3 linked regions of the Drosophila melanogaster genome follow. The protein of the gene in region 2 interacts with the protein of the main gene of each other region in a pairwise test. Each region holds a gene or a part of one and is shown on either strand. Other genes may lie near its edges.

Region 1 (3,468 bases), 5.7 Mb from region 2:
GCATTATCGGCTTTAGTTCGCTCAAGGCGAGCTTTCTCTTTTATGCACTTAAAAAAAGCATCCACCTTGGATGTCCAAGGGTATATCAACTCGAAAATTGAGTGGTCCCAAATGAACCAGACTGTTTTTAACAATTTTCATATCTATCTCAATTCATATCCTTTGCTCAACTGAAAGATGAAAAAATCTACTACGAAACATTAATAAATAGATTTTATATTATTATTAATATATTCTCTGTAATTATCGAATGTGTGCAAATTAAAAATAAAAGTGGTCGCATATTTTGCAGGGTGTACCAGAATTTTATTTTGATTTCACTGCCACCGCAGCTCATTTCCGTTCTCGAATAAGCAGAGAAGCGAATACACAAGGCTATAGCCATTACGGCTGAGGCTTGGACCACTCGACGCAGAGGATCAAGTGGTCGTAGCCGTGGCCATTAAGAACCTCAATGGCGGCAGCTGCATCCTGGCGGAACTTGAAGTGCACGTAGGCGAATCCCTTGCAGAGGCCGCTGTTTTTTTCGCGCGCCAAATACATCTTGGTGTGTGGTCCGATTTTCTTTACCAGCTCCTCGAGATCAGTCTCGGTCATGGATTCGGATAGGTTTGAGATGCGAACTGCCGACGAATCGTCCCGATCCCGACCCCGTCCCCAATTTTTGCTGCCAGATATGCCTCCGCCGTCCTTCATGAAGGGTGGTACATATTTTCCGGTCTTGCTGGGATCACTTATAGCGGCAGCTGCAGCGGCATTGGCCTTGGTTTCCATCACGGTTTTGCTATCCATCGAGGTGCCCTTGTAGGGACAATTGACACTCCAGTGTTCGCCATTGCAAATGCGGCACTTGGCGATGTTCTTGCCGGGATCAAGTTGGGTTTCGTGGGTCTGGTCGAAATCTTTGGAGCCGATGAATTGCATAAAGATCTCCTCGGAGGCCATTGTCGTCTGGGAATTGGGTCCGGGCTTGTCCGATCGCGAATCCCCAAACTTAACCCAGTTGCGACGACGAGCCACAGCCTTCGGAACAATCTGCTTCTCGATCTTGAAGGTTCGCACCACTTTCACCTTCTTGCCATCATCGTTGAACTTATACTCCGTCACGTACTTGAAGTCGCCCTTAATGTACTCATTAGAAGGCGGCAGTCCATCCACATAGTCCGCATCCACCTCATCGGCCCAGGAAGTAACGAAAGTCTTCATTTTTTATGATTTCCCACACAACCGGTACAAAATGAATTAAAAACTTAGAGATCTCTAGTTTTAGAGAGAGTTTTTCCATTTGAATTTTACTTGGCCTGTTGAGATGGGAAAAAATCCCTTTCAATAAAAGATATTTGAAATTAATATTTATATTTTCTTTAAAGTAATGATTTTTTAATAAAAAATACAACAACTTGAGTAGCAATTCACTAAGATAACTTTGCAACAAAAACATACCATTCAATCAATCTTGATTAAATTATAAATTTTTTTACTTTCATGAGTTGTTCTTAATAATTACATATTGTCTTTAAATTCAATAAATTTATTAATCTTATAGTTATTCCGTAAACAAATAAGTTCTTATCTCTGACTTGAGCATGAAAGTAATCGCTCTCCTACTGATAACAGTACAATTAAAACCGAGCTGAAACTTAATCAAACTTTGAGCTGTTAGTTCACTTTCACTGCTCTAGTCCGTCGGTTGTTCTATTGGCATTAACATGTTGCTTTTGAAGCACCCGAAAACCAGCCAATCAATAGAAATCAATGAGTTTTGGCTCCGTGATCATTGTCGATGTGTGGAGTGTCTAAATTTCGAAACAAATCAGAGGCGATACGATGTCTTAGATCTACCAGCTGATATAATGCCACTAGATGTCAAATACGACGGGATGAATCTACAAGTGCAGTGTAAGAAAAAATTGATGTAAAATGCACCTAGCTTCGATTTTATTGGCCTGCCATTTTAGGGAGTGATGCTCACAAGTCGAACTATGACCTGGACTTTATCTTCGACTCACAGCTGGAGAGGTTGATAGGTCGGCGATCAAAGTCCACTAATCTGACACCATGGAATCGTAGCATTATCTTGCAAAACGAACGGCACTTACGATTCCCATTGCCCCAGCTGGTTTCCAGTGATAACGAAGTCAGATCCCTGGTTGAATCTCTGGTGCGTTATGGCATTGTCTTTATCGATGATGTGGCTCCCACCGCGAATATGACAGAATTGGCTCTGCGACGAGTTTTCCCCCTTATGAAAACGTTCTTTGGCGAAATGTGGACTTTTAGCGATAACCCCGATCACGCGGACACCGCTTATACCAAACTTTACCTGGGTTCCCATACGGATAATACCTATTTCTGCGATGCAGCCGGACTACAGGCTCTACATTGCATTGAGCACTCGGGATCGGGTGGCGAAAATTTCTTTGTTGATGGTCTGCATGTGGTTCACGAACTGAAACGCCGGTATCCCGCCGCTTATGATGTACTGTGCAGTGTCCAAGTTCCTGGAGAGTACATCGAAAAAGGGGAGCACCACTACCACACTGCCCCCATTATACAGGTGGATCCACTGACTCAGGAATTTGTTCAACTCAGACTAAATGTATATGATCGCGCCGTGTTTAATACCATCCCTCAAGCCGAAATGGCCGAGTTCTATGACAGTCTTCGCCAGCTTTTGCTAATCGTCAGGGATAAGCAACAGCAGTGGGCTCTCAAGCTATGTCCCGGCAGCATTGTTCTTTTCGATAACTGGAGAGTGCTCCATGGTCGAGAGGCATACACAGGAAGTCGTACCATGTCCGGTTCCTATGTGCAGCGCACAGATTTTCTCAGCAAGGCTCGAGTGCTGGGAATTATTGACTGAAAGCTTATTGAAAAATACCTAATGTATACCGAATTAAAACCTTTTATGAACTAAGAAATTATGATTTATTTTCTATACTTTCTAGTGCTCCGCATATTCCTTCAGCAATCATTTATGTATTATATGGTCCGTACCGACTTTTATACTTTTTGCAATGGGAAAGTTTCATGCGGATAACTTTAACACTGAGAGATTATTTTGTGGATAGAAGAACATTTAACATTGATCAATAATATATATACTTTACATGTTCGTAGCTGACTCCTTCACTTCGATGCAAGATACTGGCTTAAATCAACATCCTTTCTGCATATATATAAGTTTGCTTTTGATTGCTCAAATAAGAACATATTTTAAATTCGGTTCATATATCAGGAATAGCATACATTGTTAAAGAATCGTTGCGTATAGAAAAAAACACGCAAATTGTTCAAGCATATTTTTCTTTTTTCTGAACCGAGTCCCACTCCAATTCAATTTCGATTGCAAATGCTAACGTATCATAATAAAAAGTTACGATTACAATTGCTGGCCAGCGTCTAATTTTTGTCATAGGGGAGTGGATCGCATACAGAAAACCAGCAACAAAAATCATTTGGCATTTG
Region 2 (4,242 bases):
TCATTTCTCCTTTATTTTTCACCCTAGCAACATAATTATAGTTCAAATTAGCAACAGATTTAATAACCTATTGATCAAAGTAATATGCATTTGTTTTTTTTTTTTGTAATTCCCCATGTAACATCTTCTCACCTGATTATTTTAGTTTTCTTAACCGCGAGAAGCTTTTTGCCACCCGTCCGTACTCCAGCCTCCCGGAAGTGGTCACCATTTACGGAAAACAACCGCCGGGACCACTTATCTATGGCATGCTGCCCAAACCGGCGGTTGTGGGTCGGTGTCCCACCTGCAGCGGCAATCCGGAGCGCACCGAGGTGGCCATACCCGAGCAGCGAACTCCTTGGGCGCCCGAGAGAAAGTCCTGGAACCGGAAGACCCAGGAGCAAGTAAAGCCGCATCGATGCTACCACTGCGGATCTGTAAAGACCAGCGAACGCAAGTACTTCGAGGAATTCTCCTACTCTTACTCCTACGACGAATGATGTAGATCGTGGTTCGTGGGTCAAATAAAAGTAAATTCAAGTTTATTCATCAGGCCTTGGGTATATTTGGTGGCAAAGTGGCGAAGGTGAGGAAGCCCGTGTGACCGGGCAGGGTTTGGGGATTACTGGAGGTCAGGTACTTCTTCACCTCCTTTGGCGCCTTGCTCTCCAAGGCATTTGTTGCCGCCGTCGTCTCATCGGTTTTGGGCAATTTAAGGAACTCAAGATCGATGACGGGCAGCGTGCGCGTCTTCACCACGTTCTCCTGCTGCAGCACCTCCAAGGAAACAATCTCGTTGAAGCCCAGCTTGGTTAGCTCTTGGATGCAGCGCTGCGACTGCTCAATGCAGGGCGAAAACGAACAGAAACGACCTCCTGGAAAGAAAGAGAATGGGAAATCCGGTTATACATTTTTGGTGCCTTTTCTGCTCGACCTCAATTGTAATTACTACATTATAGCTTCTTAAAATTTAAATATATTGGTGGGCAAGCTTTCCCTAACTCTTTTGGTATTGGATATGCCTGACAATTTATTTGTGCCTCCAATACAGTAGCACCCTAGGTTTGGTGCAAACCTGCTGTACATTGGAAGCTCCCATCCGCCTAATGACAAACTCGCCCGGTCAGCCTGCCTTGGCCGCATCAAGTGTCAAAAGCGGGCTCATTCAATGTCAAACACAGTGAAATGGCAGCCGGACTGACTAGCTGACTGGATCTTTGGCTCTTTGGATGGATAACTGACTGACCTACCGACAGTGTTGCAATATAGAAAGCATTGAGGTACCTTTTATCCAATTAGGTACACTTAAGCCCTTTTTTCTTTTTAAAATGGAAGTAAGTTTTTGTTAAGTTATTTTACTATAACTAAAATTTAAGCTGTCTAAACAAAGTTGTCTCCTAGGTACAACTTAGTGTACCAATTTCGACGATTTATTGCATGTATGTGAATGTACCTGGTCATCCCAGTTAACCCAACATATCCGCCTGATTGCCGGATTGCCCGCAAAAGGGCGCTGACAACTAGTTGTCAACGCGATGTTGGCCACTCACCGGACAGCTTCAACGCCTTGAAGGCGTGCGGCACAGCGAGATCGGGCGCGGGCAGATCCAAGAAGACCGCATCGGCCTTTCCGTCCAGTTCCGCACCAAAGCCCAGATTGCAAACGTCCCGGTGATAGACGGTGACGAAGTCAGCGATACCATGTCGCCGGAACTCGTCGCGTGCCTGATCCGCTCGAGCTTCGTGGAAATCGAAGGTGTGCAGGTGGCCAGTGGGTTTCAGTGCTCTTAGAAAGTAATGCGATAGAGACCCCGATCCCGTGCCCGACTCAACCACCACGGCACCGGGTCGGACCTCCAGCTGGTGGATAATCATACTAATATCCGGCGTGTAAATAATCTGTGTGCGGTGGGGCAGTGTTTGTGTCCAGAGTTCCGGCGTCGGCTGAAGGACATGGGCCCAGCCCTTGGAGAGCTCCACTTTACTACCATACTCCACGCCGATGATATCTGGAATAGGAATTGGGATTAGGAGAATCCGTTAAATCTATAACTTTAACTTACTTTCAACTTTTAGCGATCCATAATTGGTCTGAAAAATATGCGGTATTGTTTCGCCCTTTTTGTTCACTATTTCGGGCACCGCTTCGATGGCATGCATGGAACTGACACTCAAATAAAGGATGACCACATCGCCCTTTTCTATGTGGGTCTTGGGTTTCAGAAAACTCATGTTTTTAGTTAAAAACCGTAAGAAGATTTTTTTATTTACAAAATAGCCGCGTGTTTAAGCAATAGAGATGGAAGTTTGGTAATCAACAGGCTATCGATAAGTTTAAGTAAAGTGGCGGGTCAGGGCTACACAAAGTCCAATAATGCATATTTGTACTTTTTGGAAGTTTACATACTAAAAAGTTTAGTAGAACGAATAAACAACTGGTTTTGGTACTAAATAATATATATTGTGTCAGTTAAATGTGTTCGAGATAAATGTTTTGAAATTATCGATAGCAATTAATATCATCAATTTTTCTTCCAGCTCTAGCTTCTCTTCTTCCTTCTTTTGATTTCCGGAGAGGTTTGTGTTTTAATTGTAATGATTATTTTGATTGCAAAAAGCGCTTTAGTGACGTTAATTGCGATGCAAAACTAGACTACCATGTAGTGGCAACGCACTTCTGATGTTTCGTCTTTGTTCTGTTTTTTTCCATGAATTCCTTGGAAATGGTGTTTATTCCGGGTGGTCAATTGGATTCAGAAGCTTTAAAATGGTCCAACGCTTGACTCTGAGACGACGTCTGTCGTACAACACCCGCTCCAACAAGAGGCGCATGTGAGTAGCAGGAGATATGCTGTATATCCCACGATAACTAAGGATTTTCCATTTGTTTACAGTGTGCGCACTCCCGGAGGCCGTCTGGTGTACCAGTACGTGAAGAAGAACCCCACTGTGCCACGCTGTGGTCAGTGCAAGGAGAAACTCCACGGGATCACCCCCTCCCGGCCCAGCGAGCGTCCCAGGATGTCCAAGCGTTTGAAGACCGTCTCCAGGACCTACGGAGGTGTCCTGTGCCACAGCTGCCTGCGAGAGAGAATCGTCCGCGCTTTCCTCATCGAAGAGCAGAAGATCGTCAAGGCTCTGAAGAGCCAGCGCGAGGCTTTGGTCAAGCCCGTCAAGAAGGTTGTGGAGAAGAAGCCGGTGAAGGCTGCCGCCAAGAAGCCCGCGGGAAAGGCAGCCGGAAAGCCAGGTGCCAAAGTCGCCGGCAAGAAGCCCGCTCCCAAGGGCGCTCCTAAAGGAGTCGTCAAGTCCAAGAAGTAACCATTTACCAGAAGGATTTGTTTGGAGCAATGATATTGAACACCTTTTTTTTGTAATAAAGAAACCACAAATTGAAGAAATTAACGTTTTAATTGACAGCTTATTTCCCATTGTTATTAACTTCAAAAACTTAACAAGCGCTTAATTTAAAACATAAATGTGATTATGAAGAATGCTCATTTTTAAACATTTGAATTCTTCAATCAGCTGTTCACGAGATAAACAGCCGGTGAATGCTTCTTCTTCATAAATTGTCATTAACTTTCTCCGTTGACATGTGAGCATTTCAGATTGGTTAAAACTTTTATGATGCCACAAATTGCAAATAAACCAAATGAATCGTAAGTTTAACCATTTAACAAAGAAATAAACATAAATTTAGTAATAAATATTCGCCTCATTAGCATAATAAGAGTGCCGTTTGAGACGCCACGATTGGCCGAGATCGCCTACAAAGTCCTCGGTGTCGACCAGGAGCCGCGCCGGAATTTCGTGAAAAAAACTTTGAGCCTGGAGAACGATGTTCTGGTTGTGCACTTTCAGTCGGATCAAGTGAAGAGCCTGCGCACTGCCATCACCTCCTTCTTTGAGTGCCTGCTCCTGTGCCAGGACACCATCAACCAGTTCGGAGACTCCAAGAAAGAGAAACTAATCCCCGAGAGCAACGACAATGCCGGAACACACTCCAGCTCCGACTCCCCATAGGGCGGTCTATGGTTTCGCCTTCTATATGCTGTTCACGGTCCTCTTCCTCGTATACGTGACTTGGGCGCTGCTGCCAGTGGAGTTTGGTCTGCACTCGTATCTGCCGGACAAGTATTTTGCCGTATTTGTGCCTTTTCTGGTGCTGGTCTTCGCCTGGTTCTTTGCCTTCCTCATCTATCCTGCCATAAATCTATCGATGACAGTGGATGTTGATTCCATTGCCTCGGTGGTGGATCC
Region 3 (4,612 bases), on a different chromosome or scaffold from region 2:
AACCTTTCATTCCAAACCAGGCGAAGAGGATCAGACCTACGTGCAATGGATGTGGCTGCAGAAGGGCAACCAGAAACGTTGTGAGTGCGGCCATTGGTTCAAGCTGGTGGAGAAGGCAGCTGTTTAAAGTTATTATTAATTAATTCAATAAACCAATTAATAACAAAAACACAACAACTACTAAGCTAAAAGTCAACCCACTTAGCTGTCCAAATAAACAAACATCAACCCAAAAAAAAAAAAAAAAACGAAACTGTGAACAGAGAGGAGTGAAAGGGCGGCACAGCTTCCATTTTCAGATCTGCAAACGTGTTTTCGAACGCAGCCGAGGAAAATTGCTTAATTAACACAAAAAGCGAACAATAAAGTCTAAAGAAGAGATTTTGAGTGAAAATCAAAGGATTTATTTTAAAAAAGCTTGTCTAAAGACAGAAGAAAGTTGAATTTCGTTTAAAAATGTTTAAAATCGCAGAACTAATTTAATTTTAATAAGGCAGTAGGCGTCTTAATAAGAAATCAAACATTTTCAAAACCCTTTGATCAGATTCAACTCACTCAAAGTGGGAAATTCTCGTGTGATAACCATAATTTTCTAGATAAACTCCTTTAAAAATGTCGTCCTACATTTCGCGTCTACTTAAGGCTCAGTCCGCCTCCAAACGTCTGATCTCCAATTTAACCCAGCGCGACGGAAAGCTAAGCTCTTTGCTTCGACGACTAGGTTTACAGTGGCAAGGATCAGCCGCTGCTCCTCAACAGCGTCCCATATCCACAACTCAGGTGCAAAAGTCAGGTAAGTAGTGGTTGCAGCTTGCAAAGATCTCCAGTTCAGGTCTCATGCCCGATTAGCGCTAATTGCGGACGATCAACTGGTCACCGGGATTCAGAAGCGCGAAATGCTGCTGGCCAAGCAGGGCTGCGAGGACCCTTGGGGTTTCAGCAAGGTGATCAGGCGCGGATCGGGAAGGGAGAACGACCCCACCGTCGTGCCATCGGCGTTCGATGCACGCCTCGTAGGCTGTCTGTGCCTGGATGACCGCTTGCCCAAGTGGATGTGGATTGAGAAGGACGAGGGACCGAAGCGGTGCGAGTGCGGCCACTACTTCATCCTCAAGAATGTCCCACCCGTTTAGATCGATCACACAGAGCGCTGTACTTAACACGAACACACTTGGCATGATCCTCAGCTGGCATTAAACATTGCATGATATTATCAAAACAAAGGCTTACATGTATTTGTTAGACGCACAACAACTATCTAAGCGTATAGCCCGTCAAAAGGTAGCCACTATTTCCGCTCATATTCACTTCCGGATGTGTGCGATTGGGCAGGATCTGGTAGGTGCGCAGCCAGTTCGAGGTCAAGTGCAGACCCGTCACCTTGCCTGTTGTTTTCAGCTCCATGAATGTCTCTTGTAACAGCTCCTTGCAGGTGCTGAATACCACCACGGGTCTTGAGGGTTTCACAAGAGGCAGCAGGGCTTGCAGAATGTTGGATGGGTGCTCCTTGGCGGCCACCACCAGACTGTCGAATTCGGCGTGCATCAGGGCCGTGGCCCGCTTGTTTTCCAAATGCCAGCGCGGAGGTCCCTTTGCTCCTATAACAACAGAAATAGTATTTGTACTTGTCTTGATTAGTTTACTATTGTGACCAATACCTTCTCTACCACTATTTGACTCATCCAGCTTGGGTTTCTTTGTGGTCGGTTCTATCGCCTCAGGTTGTTCCTCCGTTGGCGTCTCCAGCTGGGTTTCCTGAGGTTCGTTTTCACTGGGCTCCACAACGGGAATATCTGTGGCCTTCGCGTCCCCTCCTTGGTAAAACTCCCTTAAAACGGAATAGAGATTAACGGAAACACATCGCTGTTGCTGCTCCAGGGGTAGTTTCAGAGCTGAGAGCGCCTGCTTCTGGGGCACATTGCCCGGGTGCATGTGCACCAGGGTGCCCTCCGTGCCTGCGCCTATAGAGTTGAGCATGGCAGCCGGCAGTAGACCATTGGTACCACTCTCGTACAGCAGATAGCTGCCGAATCCACAAACGCCCGAGTAAGAAATAATTTGCGATAAAGTGTCAACGCGAATGCCCATGACCTTTTCCGAGTCTTGGCGGTAGAAGATGTCCAGCATCAGACGGATCGTTGGCTGGCGGATTTGAACGAACTCGAAATACTTTTTCTCCTTCTTTAGCAGGTACTTCTCTTGGGAGTACTCCGTTCGGTTGTGGAAAGTCTTAGAATTCTCCACCAGCTTCTCGATGATTTTGCTGGAGTCGTTGCACTCCTCACGCAGCTGCGCAATGTCCTCTGGTTTCAGGGTCTGCGCTTCTCCATCATCCCGGATGTCCCGATTATCCGCTCCACTGCTGGAGATGCCCAGAACCTCTCGCGTGCTTCTCAGCTCAGTCTCGCTGCACAGCTCCAAGGTGTGTTGTCTCTGGGCGCCCCTTTTACCCGGCTTTGTCTCTTTGACGCACATCTTGAACGTGGAGCCATAGGGTTGGTCCAAAAGAGACTTCAGCTCCAGTGTTTCTTTGCCCAATGTGGCCGTGGTGTCCAGACTGCCGAATTTTTGTAGCTTCGTATATTTCTGCCGCTGGATGACGATGTAGTCGCCCAATTGGATTCTGGGGATGTCCTCTTCGGTGGCCATGGTTGCAACTCTATGTTATAATTCTTATAAACAACGTGTTTGTCGAAAACAAACGAAAGCCGCAAATTCTATAGAGAAGAGGAAGAGAAATTCAGTGCTGGAAAACGGACAAAATCTGGTAATCTAGTCACCTGTTGCATGTGATTAGTAACGAAATTTTAAATAAAGAGCTATAATTAACAACAAATTATTTTCTTAATTTGGCAATACAAATTCATTTATGCAAACAAGAATATTTGGATTGATATTTGACTGATCTGGCAGCTCCATTACCTGTTGCTTGGCCAAATGTTTCACAATTCTAATTAAGAAATAACCATGAGTACTTATACCAAAAATTTCATTTACTTTAACTAATTAATTTTTGATCATGCAATTAGAACATTCAAGCACAATATCAATACTCCTAGTTAAAATATACACAAAAATAATATACAACAAATATGTACATACATTACCCATTTTTGAGATAAGTGGCTGTTTGCTGTTGTGCTTTAATAAGTAGAGTTGGTTGCTATGAATGCTTAAGTTGAACATGGGTGTAGCTAACAGGGATGGTGAAAGTGTGAGTAAATACCTTGAATTACTATGACTAAGTAATAATCATTGCCAAAAATACATTATTTACTGCCCATACTTACGGTCCCTCTTGGCGATTACGGAAGGGAAGGACTGCGCCCATGCGTAACGGCACCCCTCAAATCGCTTGTATCGACGCCCATAAATCATAATTTTCAACGGTGTGGCAACGCCGTTCGATCGAGTACAGCTGATACAACGCGGCGATAATCTTGTAGTGCGGTGCGGTTTTAACCTTTGATTGGATCTGTGTTGTAATCAGCGCTCTTCGGGCACTGCAGTTGCGTCTCCACGTGACCACTAGTTCCAGGCGAACCCCCCGCCACGAGGATATACCCTAATCCCGAAATCAGAGTGCTGTCGCAGGCGCAGGGAAAATCAAACCTTCCCGCCCTCCTACCGGTTTTGTGGCCACCGCGAAAATAACTGACCGCGCAAGTTTTCGGGTTTCAAGCAAACGCCTCAAGCACACGCCCCAATAACTGCTGTCGCCCGCATCAGCAGAACCAGAAAGAAATCCGAGCCAGAGCAGAACAGAAGTCGCGCAGATATGGCGGAGGCTAAATCGGAGAAGTCGCCTTTTATTGGCAAACAGCAGGCGCCGGTGACGTTAAATCCCTCGTGGGAATCCAAGTTGCCGCCCCATGATTCCAACGGCAAGGGATCAACGTCGGTGTTGGCGAAACTGGGCCTGCCAGCGCCAAAAGATAAATTCCTTATCGTGTTCTTTATATTCCTGCTGCACGGCGTGGGCACGCTGATGCCATGGAACATGTTCATCACGGCCAAGTCCTATTTCGAGGACTTCAAGTTCGGACCAAACAACACCGTGGCCACGGAAGTGAGTTACCGCACCCATTTCATGCAAAATATGGGCTTTGCCTCGCAGATTCCTAACCTGGTCTTCAACTGGCTGAACATCTTTGTCAACTTTGGCGGCGACCTGACCACCCGAATCGTCTACAGCATCATCTTCGAAATGGTCATTCTGCTGGTTACCATTATTTTGGCCATGCTCGACTCCTCGCAGTGGCCGGGCGTCTTCTTCTGGACCACCATGGTGTGCATTGTGTTGTTAAACGTGTGCAACGGCATCTACCAGAACACCATATACGGAATAGTGGCATCGTTGCCCATCAAGTACACAGGCGCCGTCGTCCTGGGCTCCAACATCAGCGGCTGCTTCACCACCGCCATGGCCTTGATATGCGGTGAGATCTTCTCGTCCAAGAGGACTTCGGCCATCTACTACTTCGTGACCGCCATCCTAGTGCTGCTGCTCTGCTTCGACACGTACTTTGCGCTGCCGCTGAACAAGTTCTTCCGGCACTACGAGACCATTAGCCGGAGCAGCGAAAAGAAATCTGATTCTAAGGCCCAGCTG

The links.
Region 1: the proteins of Trmt61 (region 2) and Tmlh interact in a two-hybrid assay, tested with the Drosophila melanogaster proteins (one large-scale study listed by BioGRID).
Region 3: the proteins of Trmt61 (region 2) and Trmt6 interact in a two-hybrid assay, tested with the Drosophila melanogaster proteins (one large-scale study listed by BioGRID).

What each region holds. Positions count from the first base shown.
Region 1 is NT_033777.3:20,406,065-20,409,532, reverse strand, and holds Tmlh (trimethyllysine hydroxylase), read left to right. Parts: upstream 1-1,661; 5' UTR 1,662-1,709; coding exon 1,710-1,899; intron 1,900-1,958; coding exon 1,959-2,863; 3' UTR 2,864-2,918; downstream 2,919-3,468. Other genes in the region: eIF3g2 (eukaryotic translation initiation factor 3 subunit g2), read right to left, coding at 385-1,206.
Region 2 is NT_033777.3:26,057,552-26,061,793, reverse strand, and holds Trmt61 (tRNA methyltransferase 61), read right to left. Parts: upstream 2,299-4,242; 5' UTR 2,215-2,298; coding exon 2,046-2,214; intron 1,992-2,045; coding exon 1,533-1,991; intron 858-1,532; coding exon 532-857; 3' UTR 501-531; downstream 1-500. Other genes in the region: CG14551 (uncharacterized protein), read left to right, coding at 146-482; RpL34a (ribosomal protein L34a), read left to right, coding at 2,750-2,814, 2,877-3,300; Tcs6 (Threonyl-carbamoyl synthesis 6), read left to right, coding at 3,607-3,641, 3,705-4,005; PIG-P (phosphatidylinositol glycan anchor biosynthesis class P), read left to right, coding at 3,971-4,242.
Region 3 is NT_033779.5:6,558,919-6,563,530, forward strand, and holds Trmt6 (tRNA methyltransferase 6 non-catalytic subunit), read right to left. Parts: upstream 2,743-4,612; 5' UTR 2,650-2,742; coding exon 1,659-2,649; intron 1,599-1,658; coding exon 1,255-1,598; 3' UTR 1,134-1,254; coding exon of another isoform or gene 850-1,133; 3' UTR 794-849; coding exon of another isoform or gene 613-793; 3' UTR 508-612; downstream 1-507. Other genes in the region: COX5B (cytochrome c oxidase subunit 5B), read left to right, coding at 21-127; COX5BL (cytochrome c oxidase subunit 5B-like), read left to right, coding at 613-793, 850-1,133; Ent2 (equilibrative nucleoside transporter 2), read left to right, coding at 3,779-4,612.